Linked DNA regions of Tamandua tetradactyla. The protein of the gene in region 1 purifies or fractionates together with the protein of each later gene. This does not show direct contact. Links are inferred from orthologs where the notes say so. Each region holds a gene or a part of one and is shown on either strand. Other genes may lie near its edges. The genes, in order: CSTF3 and CSTF2T.

Region 1 (8,387 bases):
TCTGCCCGTCTCCCACTCCGCCCCCCAAACCATAATCAAAACCAAAAGATAAACAAGTAATAGGTATAAAGTATTTGTAATCTTTATAACACTCCAGAGGTTGATCTCTCTCATATATAAAGAAATTTTAAAAATCAAGATGATGAAGACCAAAAATATCACTGACAGATGGGCAAAAGACATTCATTGACAGTACAGAATAAAAAAAAAAATGACTCAAACATATGAAAAGATACAAAGCCCCACTTGTAATAAGAGGAGTGCAAATTAAAACTACAGAGATACAATTTCTTACTTGTCAGACTGACAAAAAAAATCCAAGTCTGACAACATATACTTGAAGAAAGTGTGAGAAATAAGGCTCTCTCATACACTGATTGTAGGAATGCAGAATGGCACAACTCCTATGCAAGAGAATTTGGTAAGCTCTAATAAAGTTACACACATATTTACTGTTTGATTGAACAATCCCACTTTCAGGAATCTATTCTGAAGCTAGACCTCCACACACGTAAAATAATATGCGCAAAATTATTTACTGCAGCATTATTTGTACAGCAAAAGATTGGAAACAACATAAATATCCATCCAAATGGGACAGGCAAATTTATGCCAAACCTACACAGTGGCATACAATGCAACAGCAAAAAAAAAAAGAGAGAGAGAGAGAGAGAGAGAAGAGATACAAAATCAATGAAATTATGGGAAAAAAAAAAAAAGACCAACACCCAACATAATGTCAAATTGGAACTGAATACAGGGTACCAGGGGTTGAGGAATAGGGAATTAATGCTTAATGGGTACAGAGTCTCTGCTTGGGATGATGGAATAGTTTTGGTAATGGATCATGGTGAGGATAGCACAACATTGAGAATGAATTAACAAGAATGAATTATAAACTTGAATATGTTTAAAATGAAACATGCTAGGTTGCATATATGTTACTACAATATGTATTTTTAAAATTTTAGTTGGAGGATAAGATGGCGGCTTAGTAAGATGCGCAGGTCTTAGTTCCTCCTCCAGAACAGCAACTAAAGAAACAGAAACAATACAAAACAGCTCCCGGAGCCACGACAGAGACCAAAAAGACAGCGTACCCCATTCTGGAACGGCTGTATGGGCAAGGAGAATCTGCTGCAGTGAGATACCCGAGGGGCGTGCGTTTTCCCGGCCTGGGCGGCTGGCGACTGGGGTCCCCTCCACGCACGTGGCTCCCCAGTCTGACTGGGAACGTTGGATAGCAGGGCCCTCCCGCCACGCTTGGCGTCTCGGGCCAGCTGGACAATTTGGACCGGCACTCCCCCAAGCTGCGGCGGCCAGGGACCCCCCCCCCCCACGTGCGGTTTCCTGGGCCGACTACGAGATTCGGATTGGCAAGTTAAAGGAGCCACAGCATCTTTTACTGGTGGGACCCGCAGACAGACAAGCACCACGAGCGCCACCTACTGGGCAGGAAAAGAAAAACAGAGCCCAGAGATTTCACAGAAAAACCTTTCAACCAGCTGGTTCCCACACCCAGGGAAATCTGATCAAATGCCCAGACACCAGCAGAAAATAATGGATGACGCTCGGAAAATTGAAGATATGGCCCAGTCAAAGGAACAAACCAATAGTTCAAATGAGATACAGGAGCTGAGACAACTAATGCTGAATATACGAACAGAAATGGAAAAACTCTTCAAAAACCAAATCCATAAATTGAGGGAGGACATGAAGAAGACATGGGCTGAACAAAAAGAAGAAATAGAAAATCTGAAAAAACAAATCACAGAACTTATGGGAGTGAAGGACAAAGAAGAAAAAATGGAAAAAACAATGGATACCTACAATGGTAGATCTAAAGAGACAGAAGCTACAATTAGTGAACTGGAGGATGGAACATCTGAATTCCAAAAAGAAACAGAAACTATAGGGAAAAGAATGGAAAAACTTGAGCAGGGGATCAGGGGACTGAATGACAATATGAAGCGCACAAATATACGTGTTGTGGGTGTCCCAGAAGGAGAAGAGAAGGGAAAAGGAGGAGAAAAACTAATGGAAGAAATTATCACTGAAAATTTCCCAGCTCTTATGAACGACCTAAATTTACAGATCCAAGAAGTGCAGCGCACCCCAAAGAGAATAGACCCAAATAGGCGTTCTCCAAGACACTTACTAGTTAGAATGTCAGAGGTCAAAGAGAAAGAGAGGATCTTGAAAGCAGCAAGAGAAAAACAATCCATTACATACAAGGGAAACCCAATAAGACTATGTGTAGATTTCTCAGCAGAAACCATGGAAGCTAGAAGACAGTGGGATGATATACTTAAATTACTAAAAGAGAAAAACTGCCAACCAAGACTTCTATATCCAGCAAAATTGTCCTTCAAAAATGAAGGAGAAATTAAAACATTTATAGACAAAAAGTCACTGAGAGAATTTTTGACCAAGAGACCAGCTCTGCAAGAAATACTAAAGGGAGCACTAGAGTCAGATACAAAAAGACAGAAGAGAGAGGTATGGAGTAAAGTGTAGAAAGAAGGAAAATCAGATATGATATATATAATACAAAAGCCAAAATGGTAGAGGAAAATACTATCCAAACAGTAATAACACTAAAAGTTAATGGACTGAATTTCCCAATCAAAAGACATAGACTGGCAGAATGGATTACGACCCAGCAATACCACTGCTAGGTATCTACTCAAAGGACTTAAGGGCAAAGACACAGACGGACATTTGCACACCAGTGTTTATAGCAGCATTATCTACAATTGCAAAGAGATGGAAACAGCCAAAATGTCCATCAACAGACGAGTGGCTAAACAAACTGTGGCGTATACCTACGATGGAATATTATGCAGCTTTAAGACAGACTAAACTTATGAAGCATGTAATAACATGGATGGACCTAGAGAACATTATGCTGAGTGAGTCTAGCCAAAAACTAAAGGACAAATACTGTATGGTCCCACTGATGTGAACCGACATTCGAGAATCAGCTTGGAATATATCATTGGTAACAGAGACCAGCAGGAGTTAGAAACAGGGTAAGATAATGGGTAATTGGAGCTGAAGGGATACAGACTGTGCAACAGGACTAGATAAAAAAAACTCAAAAATGGACAGCACAATAATACCTAAGTGTAATGTAACTATGTTGGAACACTGAATGAAGCTGCACCTGAAATATAGTTTTTTTGTTTGTTTGTTTTTTTGCATCTTTTGTTTTTGTTTTTTTCTTTTTCCTTTTTTATATATATATATTTTTTATTAGTATTATTATTTTAATTCTCTTCTCTATATTAACATTCTATATCTTTTTCTGCTGTTTTGCTAGTTCTTTTCCTAAATCGATGCAAATGTACTAAGAAATGATGATCATACATCTATGTGATGATGATACTAAGAATTACTGAGTGCATGTGTAGAATGGAATGATTTCTAAATGTTGTGTTAATTTCTTTTCTTTTTTTTTGATTAATAAAAAAAATTAAAAAAAAATTTTAGTTGGAAATCTCAATATGAACTCATAATTAAATCCATACATTTCCTGCTCTGAACACTGAAAATGCCACTACAGTAGGAACTGGGATCCCACCGGAGAAATGACTGGACCTGCAACTGGGAACATTGTGAGCCTGGGACATCTTGTGTAGGCCAGGGAGATGTCCAACACTAATGGCATCATGTAAAAAGGAGGTGTGACCAACTCACCCAGTATGACAACACTTCCACTAGCCCCAAAAGAACAGTGATACAATTAATTGAAACACCTTAAAATCTTAAAAACAACAACAAAACATGAATTCACGTTTTTATGTTTCAATAAAGAGAAAAGCCAGAAAAAATAAATTTCTACTACTTGAAGCAGGCATTAAATCAAACACTTTACTGAGAAAATTAGTCAGTAAAGGGGAAAAAAATAGGCATCTATCTTGCTTTCTTAAGATTGATGAGGGAAAACGCTTTTTTTTTTTTTTTACATGGGCAGGCACTGGGAATCGAACCCGAGTCCTCTGGCATTGCAGAGCAAGCATTCCTGCCTGCTGAGCCACCATGGCCCGCCTGGGAAAGTGCTTTTTAACAGAATGGGAAAAGAGTTTTTTGAGAAAACTTGATCTCATTTAATCTCAGACTATGCCAGGTTCTGCTCCAAGCAGTTTTTCATGTATTGACCTATTCAAATTGCTGGCACTATTAATATTCCCCTTTATAGGCAAGAAAATTGAGGCACAGAAAGGTTAAATTGCTCATGATTGCTCATCTAGTTAGAGGTGGACACATAATCTGGCTCCAGAGCCCAACTGCTATTATCTCCACTTTGCAGATAAAGAACCACGGTAAGGTACAGTTTAGAACCCCGGTTGTACGGCCTTCAAAGCCTTCTGCACAATAGTACATGGTGACGGTAAAAATTAATATGGGCTTGGGGGTGCAAGGGTAGTTCAGTGGTAGAATTCTCACCTTCCATGCAGGAGACCTGGGTTCCATTCCCCATCCATGCACTTTCCAAAAAGCAAACAAAAATTCAACAAATGGTGCTGCAATAATGGGATACTCACATGGACAAATAATGAAATGTGATCCCGCCATACATCATACAAAAAAAAAAATTAATCTGGGCTTGGTCTGGCTGTTCTTCACACCCCAAGAAGCATAAATATTTTTAGCTGATACCACAGAAAATCTTGATGTATTCCTTATCCCCTCAGAAGAGGAGGCATTTAACAGTTAACACTGTTCCCTAAATGGGAACTGACCTGAACTGACTGGCAAGTTCTAGTTCAACTGTTAGCCCTATTCCTACAGGATAGGGCTCTGTAACTCCGTAATTAAGTTCCAAAACCGCGTGAGTCCCCAGGCCAAATGGTTTCCCGCCTCCCAGCCGGTTGTAACCAGCTCAGCAACAGCCTCTCTCACCCAAGGGCGGAGACTCAGCCCTGGCATTAATTCTGGCCTCTGGGATCTTTCTGCGTCTGCGCACCTAGAGTAACTGGCGTGCGTCGGTACTAGTTCCGACCTTTGGCCCGGAAGTTAACAGGAAGCCACGCCCCCTCTGCTCGGCCGGCAGGGGCGCAGCCATTTTAATTCACATCTGAGTGGGCGGTGGTGTTTGGTGTTGGCGGTCTGGCTCTGCTGGGCAGGGGTAACTTTATTGGTCTGGGGTTGGTTTTTAGTTTAAAATTTCTTTTCTAGCTTCTCGTCGGGGGCCAGTGTGCACGTTTTAATCAGCTGAGGCCATGTCAGGAGACGGAGCCACGGAACAGGTGAGGAAGGAGAGTGGTGGGGCCTCGTGGCGACTCTTCTCTCCACGTCGGTGTTCGTCCGCGTTCGTCCGCGTACTCCAGCCATGTTCGCCTGAGGAAGAAATCAGGGGTCTCTTGAACCCGGAGAACGGGGTGCTGAAGAATGAGAGAATGGGGAGCAAGATCTGACTGGAATTAAGAAGTGTTTTCCGACTTCTCTCTCGTAGGCATTATTACGAGCAAATATTTGATCCGAACAATAGCCGGGAGGCTGCTTTGTCCCCTTTAGATATAGGAATACTTGGCATGGGATGCTTTTCCTTTGATGTCGTTTTGTGGTTAAGATGGTTAGGAATTATTTTAACGTGTACCCGCCGCCTTTGAAAAACTTAACAATGTTCCCTCCACCCCTTTTCCAAGAAATATACTGTACCCAGAAATAGGGAGCTTACTAGTTTGAGAAATAATTGGAGACAAAACATTTGGGGAAAAATGTTCTTGGGAGAGCGAATGAAGAGAAAAAATCTTCGAGCGCTCATGGTTATGCTGAGATTCTGGGAATTTTGTGGCTTTCTCGCTCCTTTTTCTCCCCTGTACCTACATTTCTTTTTTCCAGCGACACAGACATTGCAGAATTTGATAAATCGGAAACGAGAATTCTGTTTTGGCTACTTAAGTAAAAGCATCTGTTTTAGTACTAGATATGCCACTTAGGTGTTTTTAAACTAATATTTTTAGGTCAATGTGGTTTTTTCTGTTCTTTTGTAGTTTCCATTCAGAATTTGATAGTAACTAGTTTTTTTTTTTTTGAAAGAGGTTTGTTTGAAAGCTATTTTGTGAAAGAACTCCTTAAATTCATTTTCTGTGTGAAGTCCTGGTATGTTTAGATAGAGACAGTTTTTAAAATGGAGACTAGCCTGCAAACTCAATTTCCTGAAATTTCCCATTGCCATAGCAACGAAATACACTTACGTTTTCATTTTCGAGTCCCCAGCATATAACTAACTTATAGGCTGACAGAGAGGAGACAAAATAGGAACATTCCCCTTGAATAGGCTGTACATTTCATTATACTGTGCAAGTTTGTCTATGGACAACTTTTTGTGTTTGTTCATGGACTCATTTTAGTCCTGAAATTTTCAGTGTTTACATGCTGTGTAATGCTCAAGAATGTAAAGTCTTAAAATTAAATCAAAACTAAATTTTACCTGTCCTTTTTTTCTGGACTAGTATTTTGTCATCTGAAAGCCAGGGAGGAGTAATGCAGTGAGGTTTCATTAAGTTTCCAAAATTCAGTGATCGTTCTTAAAATGCATCTAAAACCGTAAAGATACTGAAATGTTGACCATGACTTTGTATATTTCAGAACTGTGCTGTTTTAACGGAAAGAGATGGTGGTGAAAATTCACAGAAAAATAATTTCCCCCAAAGTTAGATAAAAATTGAAAGTGCGTTGAACAGTTACAGTACAGTTCTTCGCCTGGAACCAAGTTGTTAATATTTTGCCATAATTGCTTTGTTTCAGCATAATTTACTTGAAGGTCATTGACAAATATTTCACCCCTATATATTTCAGCATTCTCTACATTATGTTATGTAACCACAATACCATTTTCACACCCAAGAAAATACTAATTCCATATCATTTAAAAATCCAGTCCATGTTCTGATTTTCCCAGTTGTTCTAAAAGTGATTTATAGGTTTTCTTTTTGTTTTAGTTTGTTTTCAGAAACAGGGTCTAATCTAGGTTCACATATTGTGTCATGTGGTTATATCCCCAGAGCAATCATAACCCTCTCTCCCAAACATATTGTCTTTTTGAAGAAGTCAGTTCAGTTATTTTCTCACTGTCTGGATTTATTTGATCGTTTTCTTGTGGTGTCATTTTACTTGTCTGTAGATCTTTATCCAAAATCTTTAGGATTAAATGTGAACTCAGCCTTGATAAAAATTCAGGTTAAATATTTTTTGCTAAGATACATTTAGGTGGTGCTTCATTTTCTATTACATCAAAAGGCACTTGATGCTGGGTTGTTCCATTGTGCTGGTTTAGTTTAATTAGTTAGGGTGGTGACTGCTGAATCTTTTCATTGTAAAGGCTTATTTTACCCTTTTGCAGTAGGTAATGTGGGTTGATACCATGTTCCTCACTCAGACTTTCTTTTCATCCATTGATAATCTTTTACTAAACCAGTTATTACAGTGTAGGTGGCAAAATGAAGACTTTTTAAAAAATCCTATTATTGTAGTTATATTTATTGGCTCATGTTGTTCTGTAGAGAGGTTTCCTCTCTCTTTTAAAAAAAAATTGAGTATCACTGATTCATGGGTTTGTTTATTTAGTGTTATATTCAGCTGTAGTAATTTTTCTTTTGATTAACTTATCCCAAATTTACCTGAGATAGCACCTTTATGGTGGCTCCTATATCTTTCCTTCAGTCTGAAATCAGATATTTTTTGACGTCTGATTCTTCATGCAACTTTTTATTTAACTTTTAAATAGTAAATTTCAAACACATAAAAGAAAGAATAGGGCCACAGTGGCTCAACAGGGAGAGTTCTTGCCTGCCATGTCAGAGACCCCAGTTTGATGCCTGTCCATGCAAAAAAAGAAAGAATAGTACAGTGTGTCAACTTTACTTGTCATCCAACTTCAACATTTCTCAACTCAGGGTTGATATTGTTCTTTCCATACCTTCACTTGTCCCCCCCCCCCCCATTACTTTGAAGCAAATTCCAGATATTATATGATTCAGCTTTTAACTGAATTGGTAATTAATTGACATTTTAGAGTGACATTAAAAATATGAATTAACTGTACTTTGTTTGAAAGTGAGACAGCTGTTAATGAAAACTTAAAGGGAGATGAGTGCCTAAAATGATGGGTGAGGGAAAAAAGTAAATAAAACTATAGAGAATAATAAGAAAAAAGCAAAACCACTCTGAAGCATGAATTTGCTTTGAAAGGATGTCAAGGGTTGAGATGGATAAACAATCTACAAGATACGAGGTGTAGATTTCTTTTAGCCTTCCTGTAGCATGGAAACTGCAAACAAGTTTTTGGATAAACTTGATAATGCCTTAATTTGTTACTGAAAAATATGGATGACAAAAAAAAATATGGATGATATTTCCCTTGGTATTATAGTTCTGGT
Region 2 (8,564 bases), on another chromosome or scaffold:
AAGGTGTAACTTCGGAAAATATTCATTAAAAATAAACATCAGTGACCACAATCAGCCTTAATTATGCTTTCTTTTTATTTAGTCTGCATTCAACGATGCAGATTTTACAACAACAAAAAGCATAACACTTAATAGTTTGCATCATTAGAGCCCTTCAGTAAAAGCTTTATGATAAAACAACTGTAATTTCAAGATAATGAAATCAACTATGAATTAGTATTAACCAGAGCAATCATACATATAAAGGAGAGTTACCACTCCAGTATGGGATGAGTACATAGAAAACATGGGAAAGTTAACAGTATGTACAAAAAACAGTAGTAAAAGAGCAACAACAGTGTAGTGATGAAGAACTCTGTGAAAAGAGTGCAATCCCCATTTAGGATGTTAAAATCCTGAAGAGGAAAACTAACTCAATTTCTAAGTCTTACCTCTCTCCTTGCATTAAATATTTTTTCTTATGTAACTGGTTATTTTTCTTCAGAGTACGATCATTTGGCTATGTGGAAGTTTAGGCTTATGTTAACCAACACTTGTTCTGTGATACAAATTTTCAAGTAAAAATTACTCAGATTTGACTTAGGGCTTAAAGACTTGAGGCAAGGGAAGGTACTGAATTAGACTGAATCTAATCAGAGCTAGACTAGAACAATGTCTCTGAAGGGTGGGATAAATGAAGCAACATAAAACCAGGTGCACTCCTTGATTTTTCAGGTAGCACAGCTTTAGAAGAAAGCAATTCCAATACCACAAGTTTAAACTTATCCCATTAACTCTTAACATTTCAACATAACTCAAAAACATAAAGCTTAGCCTTTAAATGGCTTACCAAAAAATATAACTTTATAATTTTGAGGTAAACTTTTTTATTCTACAACTTAAAATCTTAAACTATCTTAACACATTGCCATTTTAACACAGGTTACCATAATCTTTATGTGCAGTTTTCATAGTTCTACTCAATTTTTAAAAATGTAGTTAACATATTGTAGATACCTTTCATATTGTCGCACATTCTTTATAAGCTTTTTTGGTAAAATACAATCATGTTCAGTGTTACTTTTGTATTTCTCGGTAACTTGAGTGAACAGACCCATACCCTCCACCCCCTCCCCCCAATTAAAAGTGAAAAGGAAAGCTGAAGGAAAGAAAAATAAGAAAAAATGAGATTAGGCTCTAGGAAGCAGAGGTAAACCTTAATCTTAAACTTTCAAGTGTGGGGATGTGTAAATCAGCTTTTTGCACCCCTTCTCCATGCTACAGAATTAACTTTCTGAGATTACTGCCTTGTGTATTTTCTAAAACTTTTCAAGAAGCTCCAGTGGATTTCTGGATTTGCTCTTTCAAAATCAGAATACTCTGCCTTTGCTCAGGAGGCAGCATGGCAATCTGATCTGCAGTCAGTTGAAGAACCTGCATGATCAATGCTGCTTTTTCTTGATCCTGTGGAGTTACCTGGCTCTGCCCCGGACTAAAACTGCTAGGCTGGCCTCCACCTTGCTTGCCTGCCCCCTGCATGCCGCCTCCTTGTATGCCTGCCCCCTGGATGCCCACTGCTTGAATGCCTGCCCCTTGTATGCCTGCCCCCTGCATGCCTGCCCCCTGCATGCCTGCCCCCTGCATACCAGCCCCCTGCATGCCTGCCCCCTGCATACCAGCCCCCTGCATGCCTGCCCCCTGCATACCTGCCCCCTGCATGCCTGCCCCCTGCATGCCTGCTCCTTGGATGCCTGTCCCCTGCATGCCAGCTCCAGGATTTCCCACTCCTGAAATGCTTGGAACCTGTCTGGGACCCTGAGGGCCACCTGCCCCCATACTGATGGGACCAGGACCCTGGATTCCACCAGTCATAGGGCCTCTTGAACTGGGGCCAGGACCTCTTATCTCCATTCCTCTTGCATCCATGCCTCTAACTTCCATCGCACAGGTCTCCATTCCTCTTCTCTCCATTACTCGTGTCTCTAAGACCTCAGTCTCCATGGCTCGAGTCTCCATCACTCGAGAATCTCTACTACCTCTACCATCCAGGGGTAGACCCCTTTGATCTAGCATGGGTCCTCTGGGCTCTCCAATTAGCATTCTGGGATCTGCTAATGGCCCTCCCCTCATTTCATGTGAGGCAGGTCCACGGTTGTCATGACCAGAGACATGGTGCATGGGGGGACCTTGGTGGGGTGGGCCCAGGTAACCTCTGGGCTCTACTTCTCCAGTAACTGAAAGCAAAGTCCCTCCACGTGGATCATTTGGAGCATCTCCTAGCAGTCCTCTAGGAGGCAGGCCAGCAGCAGTCATGGGTCCACGAGATATAGGCGCCCTGGGATCTGACATCTGTACGTGTCCCCGCTCTAAAGGCACTGGGCCAACCCCAGGCATTCCAACCTGGGGCTGCATTGCTCCTCCAGGAGTTAAGGAACCAGTTCCAGGTCCAGGAACAGCAGTTGGGATCGCCCCCGGGGCTGGAATTCCACCCTGGATAGGAGTTTGCATCAGAGGAGGAATGTCTTTCACGGGTCTTCTAGCCAAATGTTGAGGCTGAGGGGCTGGAGGGTTCTGCTGGTTCAGCAGAACATTAGGTCCTGGGCACAGGCCTGGGCCGGAGACAGACTGAGATTTGCCCGGAATTAGTGGCGTGACATGTATCTTACGATGCAGAATTTTCAAAGCAATCTCTGGATCCATGATTCTCATCACCACTTGTGCCTGCAACAGCGCATAAGCCAACTGCGGGTTTTGAAGCAACATATTTCGAGCTTCCTGGTGGCTGTTTTGGACACAGAGCTTCATCTGCTTCATTAGCTCAAACATCTGTTCCGGAGGGAGACTGGCGACTGCTCTAGTAATTGATTCAGGGGCATCTTCCGGATCGATGGGATCCCCATAGGGTGAGTCAATGATGGGCGCTGCCGGCCCTAGACTCTTTAACTCCTCCTTATTCTTTTCACTAGCAGCATTGTCCACCCGAAGCGCTCGCCCGCTGAACTCCCGCCCGTTGAGGTTCCGCATGGCACTAAGCGCGGTCTCCTGGTCTTGATACTCGCAGAAGCCATAACCCTTGGGTTTTCCCGTCTCTCTATCGTATACCAGACGGAAACTGACAACAGAACCAACCTCCGAGAAAATGTCCTTTAACTGCTCCTCAGTTGCCTCATACGGAATGTTCCCCACGAACACGGAACGCAGTGATCGATCCATTGCCGGGTCTCTCACAGCCAAACTCGACATGATTCCGTTTATGAAAACAGCGGATAGCGGATTCTTTCGAGAGTTGTCCCCCAATACACACTTCCGGCAACTAGCGGAAACGGCTCTCAAAATCCGGGCAGAAACCTCATTGATGCGCTTGAATCGTTCCGCTTCTCTGCGGAAACCGCACCTGTATGTCCCCCTAGTTTAACGCTTGCCAGCCCCAGGCCTTTCGTGGTTCTGTCAGCAAATTGTTACCGAGATGCACTTTTCCTTTTCTCTTATTATGCCGACTTTCCATGGCGCCCTACTCCTACCAGGGAGAGCTTGGTGTGAGGTGACCTAAGTAAAGATGGCAGTATTGGCTTCATCCTGGTAAACGAGACAGGCCGCCTCTTTTGACGTCAAGGGTCCGTTCGGCTTCCGTTCGGCCGGCGCGAAACCGCCAACCGAAAGCTGATGAAGGCAGGGGGGTGTTTCTTCATTCTGAGGCAAATATTTTCATGTAGCCGTTTACTCTTAATGTAGAGTATTTAAGCAATATTTAAAACCATGTTCCAAACTATGACAGAAAGGGCAGTTTTAAAGCCGATTTGATATTCGCTCCTTAAATTACAAACATAATTTCTCCTTTAGAGAAAAACATATTTGGAAAATAACTGCCTAAGCAGAAAGACTGAACACGTGTGCCGGTTCCCTCCCCGCCCCCAATCTGTTGCTTCGGGTTTGCCGGTTCTTGCAGATTTTTCTTGGTTCACAAAATCAATCAATTCATACTGGATTGTTTTTCTTTCTTTTCGTAATAGTGCTAGTCGATATTAATGTTAATCATTGCTAATAAATAGCGTTTTGTGGCTGCAAGGCTTGAATTAAGCAAATGTATGTAACCATTGTATTAGTAGGCATTTAGTTTATAGTTCAGTGTATATAATACGATATTTTTATTGCATCCATTTACTCTCAAGTGTTTTAATAGTCTTTTCAAACAGGATTTGACATACCTGTTCGCCCAAGACACATGCCAATTTGTATGTGCAAGCGTATATATATCACCCAATAAAATCTACTTGCTGCCTCAGAGAAACAGAAAAGCTGTCTGCTAGGAAAGATCCCCCCCCCCTTATTCTTTTTCTTTTATGGGGGGCCGGGGGTGGGGTTGTGAGGAGTTAAAGATGGTATTTCAGAAAACTTTTAAAAAGTAGCTCCTTTACTGCTGCTACTGATAGCACCCAGTGGTTCACAGATGGTAGCCCACAACGGAAACACCTGGAACTAGGGCTCGTTAAGTCAGATTGTTGGGGCTCTTTTCTCCCACCCAGGTTCTGATCCGGGGTGGGACTAGGTCATTTGCATGTGTAACAAGTTTCAGGCTGGTCTGGGACCCACACTTTTAACAACCACTCGTAAACAAAAAACTTGAAATGCTTTATCTTCACATGCATTAGGCCGAATTAAATTTAGTACACTCTGTTAAAAGGTAGGAGAGCTGGGTGGTTTGAAAAAAAAAATCATGTGGATCTAGTACTGCTAGGATGTACTGATACGCAACTCCCCCCCCCCCCCCGCCCCCACACACACACAACTGAAGATAACCCCGGGCTCAAAGGATGGGTAGACAAAGAGAAGCTGAGAAATTCTGTGGACAAACAGCCGAGAGCATGAGCCTGCTTTTTGTCCTTAGCCCTCCATGGTCTTCTCAGTCACCCTGTTCCATCCAGGGATAGGAAGAATGGTGGGTGCTGCTTTGACACGGCCCCCTTCACGGAGGACCAATGTGACCCAGCACATAAGTAAATGCCTGCAACGCATAAACTAATATTTATTATTAACAGAGTTGCCCAGAATCACCAAGAGCTCTTATGAACCTGTGTACATTTACTGGTGAAAATACATATTTTTTATAGCTCTACTTTGGAAAAATGTCCATTTTTATACAATGTTCTTTATTCCCAGAAAGTTTAAACTTAAGGGATTTATAGCACAATATTTATTCTGAAGAAAAATATACAAAGCTTATTGTATGTCCACTGATCAATTCGTTCAATAAATCAAGCTGTTAATTATGCAAATGATGATTAAAAAAATACATCAGGGTCTAGATGGCTAAATGGGGGGTGTCTTTCAAACCGACTACCTTCATAGAATATGAACTTTAGTTATTGATGCTGCCATTGTTTAAACTGAATTATAAACGCTTTCTGAGGTATCGCTTCAGGGCCCCATCATTAAGTAATACTAGATAATTAGTGGCAAAACTTGCTTTTGGCAGAAACAAATTAATCACCCAACTTTCTGGCCAGACATGCCAAAGTCTGATGTTTCGCTATTTTCAAATATCAAAACTTATACCAAAATACAAAGATTCCATAGACTTTGAGGACATTAATGGAAGATTCACTATAGATTAATAAGATAAATTCAACAGAGAGGTTCTAAAAATATTTTGAGTGTGGCAGGCATCTTTGAAATATGTATATGGATTCTTCCAGGCACAGTTTGAATATATTCCTCCACAAAGTTTTTCCAGATCTTCCTCCTCTTCCTCGAGGTTGAACATAATTTCCTTTTCCTTTTGATGTAAACCATTCCTTATTTGTACCTACCTCATGACAATAACTCTTAAACCTGTTAATGAAATTAGTGTGTTTTCCCTGTAGACTATAAAATCATTCAAGAGAAAGAGCTAGATACCCCATATCAATTTCTATTATTTTTTTCATTCCATAAATACATACTGAGTATAGTTTTAGTCAGAGGCAATACAGCAGTGAAAAAGTCAAGTATTCTACAAGAATAGAGATTTTTCAAAAGTTTGATCCCTGGACCAGAAGCATCAGAATCACCTGGAAACCTCTTAGAAATGCAAGTTTGAGGGCCCTGTCCCTAACTAGGGAGTCAGAAACTCTGGAGGGCATGGTGCATGTGTGTAGAAATTCATGTTGTAACAAGCCTTCCAAGTGATTCTGATGCTGGCTAAAGTTTGAGAGCCATAGTACTACAGGAAAACAGCCATAGATAGATGGTTTTTCTTCATCACTATCCTCAGTACAGATAATAGAGTTTAGCACTGGTAGTTTCTCACTGAATATTTGTTCAGTGAGTAATGAAAAATGAATTTAGGGTTAGCTAATCCACAAGCCCTTCATTTTACAGAGAAGGAAATTTTGGGGGTTAAATGATATGTTCCAAAGCAGGAAAGAAGCATGCTGTTAGAATCCTACCAGTTCACTCCTAGCTTAGGCATGGTATGTCCATGTTACTATTTGATAAACCAGATATGTAATGAGTAACATAGAGATGGAAGAGAATGATACCATCTAGATCACCATGGAACGTTTCCTGATGAAGATGGGATTTAAGGAATGAGTTATAATCTGGTCAAATGGACAAAAGATGATAAGATGACAAATGCACAGCTATATGATGATAATGTGAACTACTGATTATATAATTTGCATAATTATATGGTTTGTGAATGTATCTCAATAAAATTGCTTAAAAAAAAGATGATGAGGATAATCTAGTAGCTAGGAGTAGCCAAGACACACAGTTGGGACCTGGTAATTTTGATACTCACAGAGGAAATCAATAGAGAGTTGTTTAGTAGGGTGATAAATGATTGATTTGGGAGACAGATTATAAAAGATTTTAACCACCAGATTCACGAGTCTAAATTTGATGTGCAGTCAGGCTTTCTTCCCTCTTTCTGAAACATGACCATGGAATAAATGGTGAGGGTTTAAGAATACCAGTGTTATAGATTCTTTCTCCATTATGGTATCTTCTGCACCTGAACTGTCTATTTCAGTCCCTCATGACAGTTTTCCTAAATTGCAGCACTTGCTTCCTGCATTTGACAACCTGTTATAATTATGTGGCTTCGTTGTCATTAGCCTCCCTCCTTTTTATGTATTTTCTTCTAAGTTGTACCACTTACTTTTCACCATATATGATCTGTGCATTTCTGCCTCTGAGGTTATACTGCTCCTCTATCAGGGATAATATTTTTCCTCTCTACCTCTTCTCCCCAAGTCTAAATCCTTCTTGTCCTTCAATGCTCACTTCAGGACTTCCCCTTAATATAAATTCACAGAAGGACAGGGAAGACCCTGACCCCCCAGGGACACTCATAGCTATGACTAGGGCCCCCAACTGCTCTTACATGTTTGTATTCTTAACAAAATAAAGGCGTAGATTCTCCAGTCCAAAAAAAAAGACTTCCCTTTTAGAATATTAGCTTGATGTTCATTATCTTCTATCTTGTATTATAGGTGTTAATAGCCTTATGTTATCACTTAAGCAAATAACACATATCTGATTTATATTCTTCATAATGTCTTGTCCTGTGCCTTTTATATTACAAACACTCAGTGCTTGGCCATCTTATAATGACACATTATGTTAAGCAAATAATAATTTAGCCCTTTTAGTTTACAAAACACTTTAACTTGGATTTCCATATCTGGTCCTGACAGCAATCATGTGAGGCTCAAACAGTTTTACCCTCATTTTAAAGATGTGAAAACTCAGAGAGCTATTATATAGAACTTTATCAGTAATGGACTCGCTCAAATTATAGATACTATTAATAAAAGCTAACTCTGAGCACTTAATATGTAGGAGGTCCTTTGATAAATGCTCTGTGAAATAAAATATTTTATTTACTCCTTTCAACTACCCTTTTGAGTCAAGCCATCATAGTATCTCAATTTGTTGCTAAAAAAATGGAGCTACAGAGACGTCAACTGGCTTGCCCATGGTTATTATATTGCTATTAACTGGCAGAGTCAGGATTTGAACAGACACTGACTCAGGAGCTCAAGTTCTTAAATTGAGCTACAGCCAAAAACCAGGTCTCTAATTTTAAACATCCTTTTCAACATTTATATAGTAATCACAGGTTTCTGAGGCCTGGCATAGTTTCCCTTGGCCTTTTTCCTGATTGTTTCTGATGAAACTAATCTCAATTTTGACATCATAATCAGTGCTGTGGCAACAGATGGACTATACAGCATAAAGATTGAAGCAATTGGGAAAATGTTTCCCTTTTCAATTTTCAGGACTAGAGTGAAACATCACATCAGAATTTTAAAAACATCCAGTTAGATAGGTAATGAACTGATTTTCTATGAAGTGAAAGAGCCAGCATTTTTCAAACCCACTGTTAGGATGGTGTGTGACATTTTAGCTAAAATTTTTAATGATTTAATATAAAACAACAGAGGAATAAATAGTAAATTTTATTTATGCAAGGGATGAATCATTTTTATTGGCAAAACTAAGATTACATGAATTTGAGATTGCTGGGAATATGTCATTCAAGACCTAGAGGTTGGACAGAACCAAATGTTCTGTTTGAAAGGGATTGTATAGTCCAACTC

The links.
Region 2: the proteins of CSTF3 (region 1) and CSTF2T purify together in Homo sapiens (co-immunoprecipitation; 4 studies listed by BioGRID and IntAct, counting the BioPlex papers as one, with this or other methods). This does not show direct contact. The link is inferred for Tamandua tetradactyla from reciprocal best matches to the Homo sapiens genes CSTF3 and CSTF2T.

Annotation. Positions count from the first base shown.
Region 1 is NC_135334.1:109,356,488-109,364,874, reverse strand, and holds the start of CSTF3 (cleavage stimulation factor subunit 3), read left to right. Parts: upstream 1-5,043; 5' UTR 5,044-5,225; coding exon 5,226-5,252; intron 5,253-8,387. UniProt on the Homo sapiens protein: One of the multiple factors required for polyadenylation and 3'-end cleavage of mammalian pre-mRNAs.
Region 2 is NC_135339.1:45,356,609-45,365,172, reverse strand, and holds CSTF2T (cleavage stimulation factor subunit 2 tau variant), read right to left. Parts: upstream 3,557-8,564; 5' UTR 3,223-3,556; coding exon 1,309-3,222; 3' UTR 57-1,308; downstream 1-56. UniProt on the Homo sapiens protein: May play a significant role in AAUAAA-independent mRNA polyadenylation in germ cells. Directly involved in the binding to pre-mRNAs.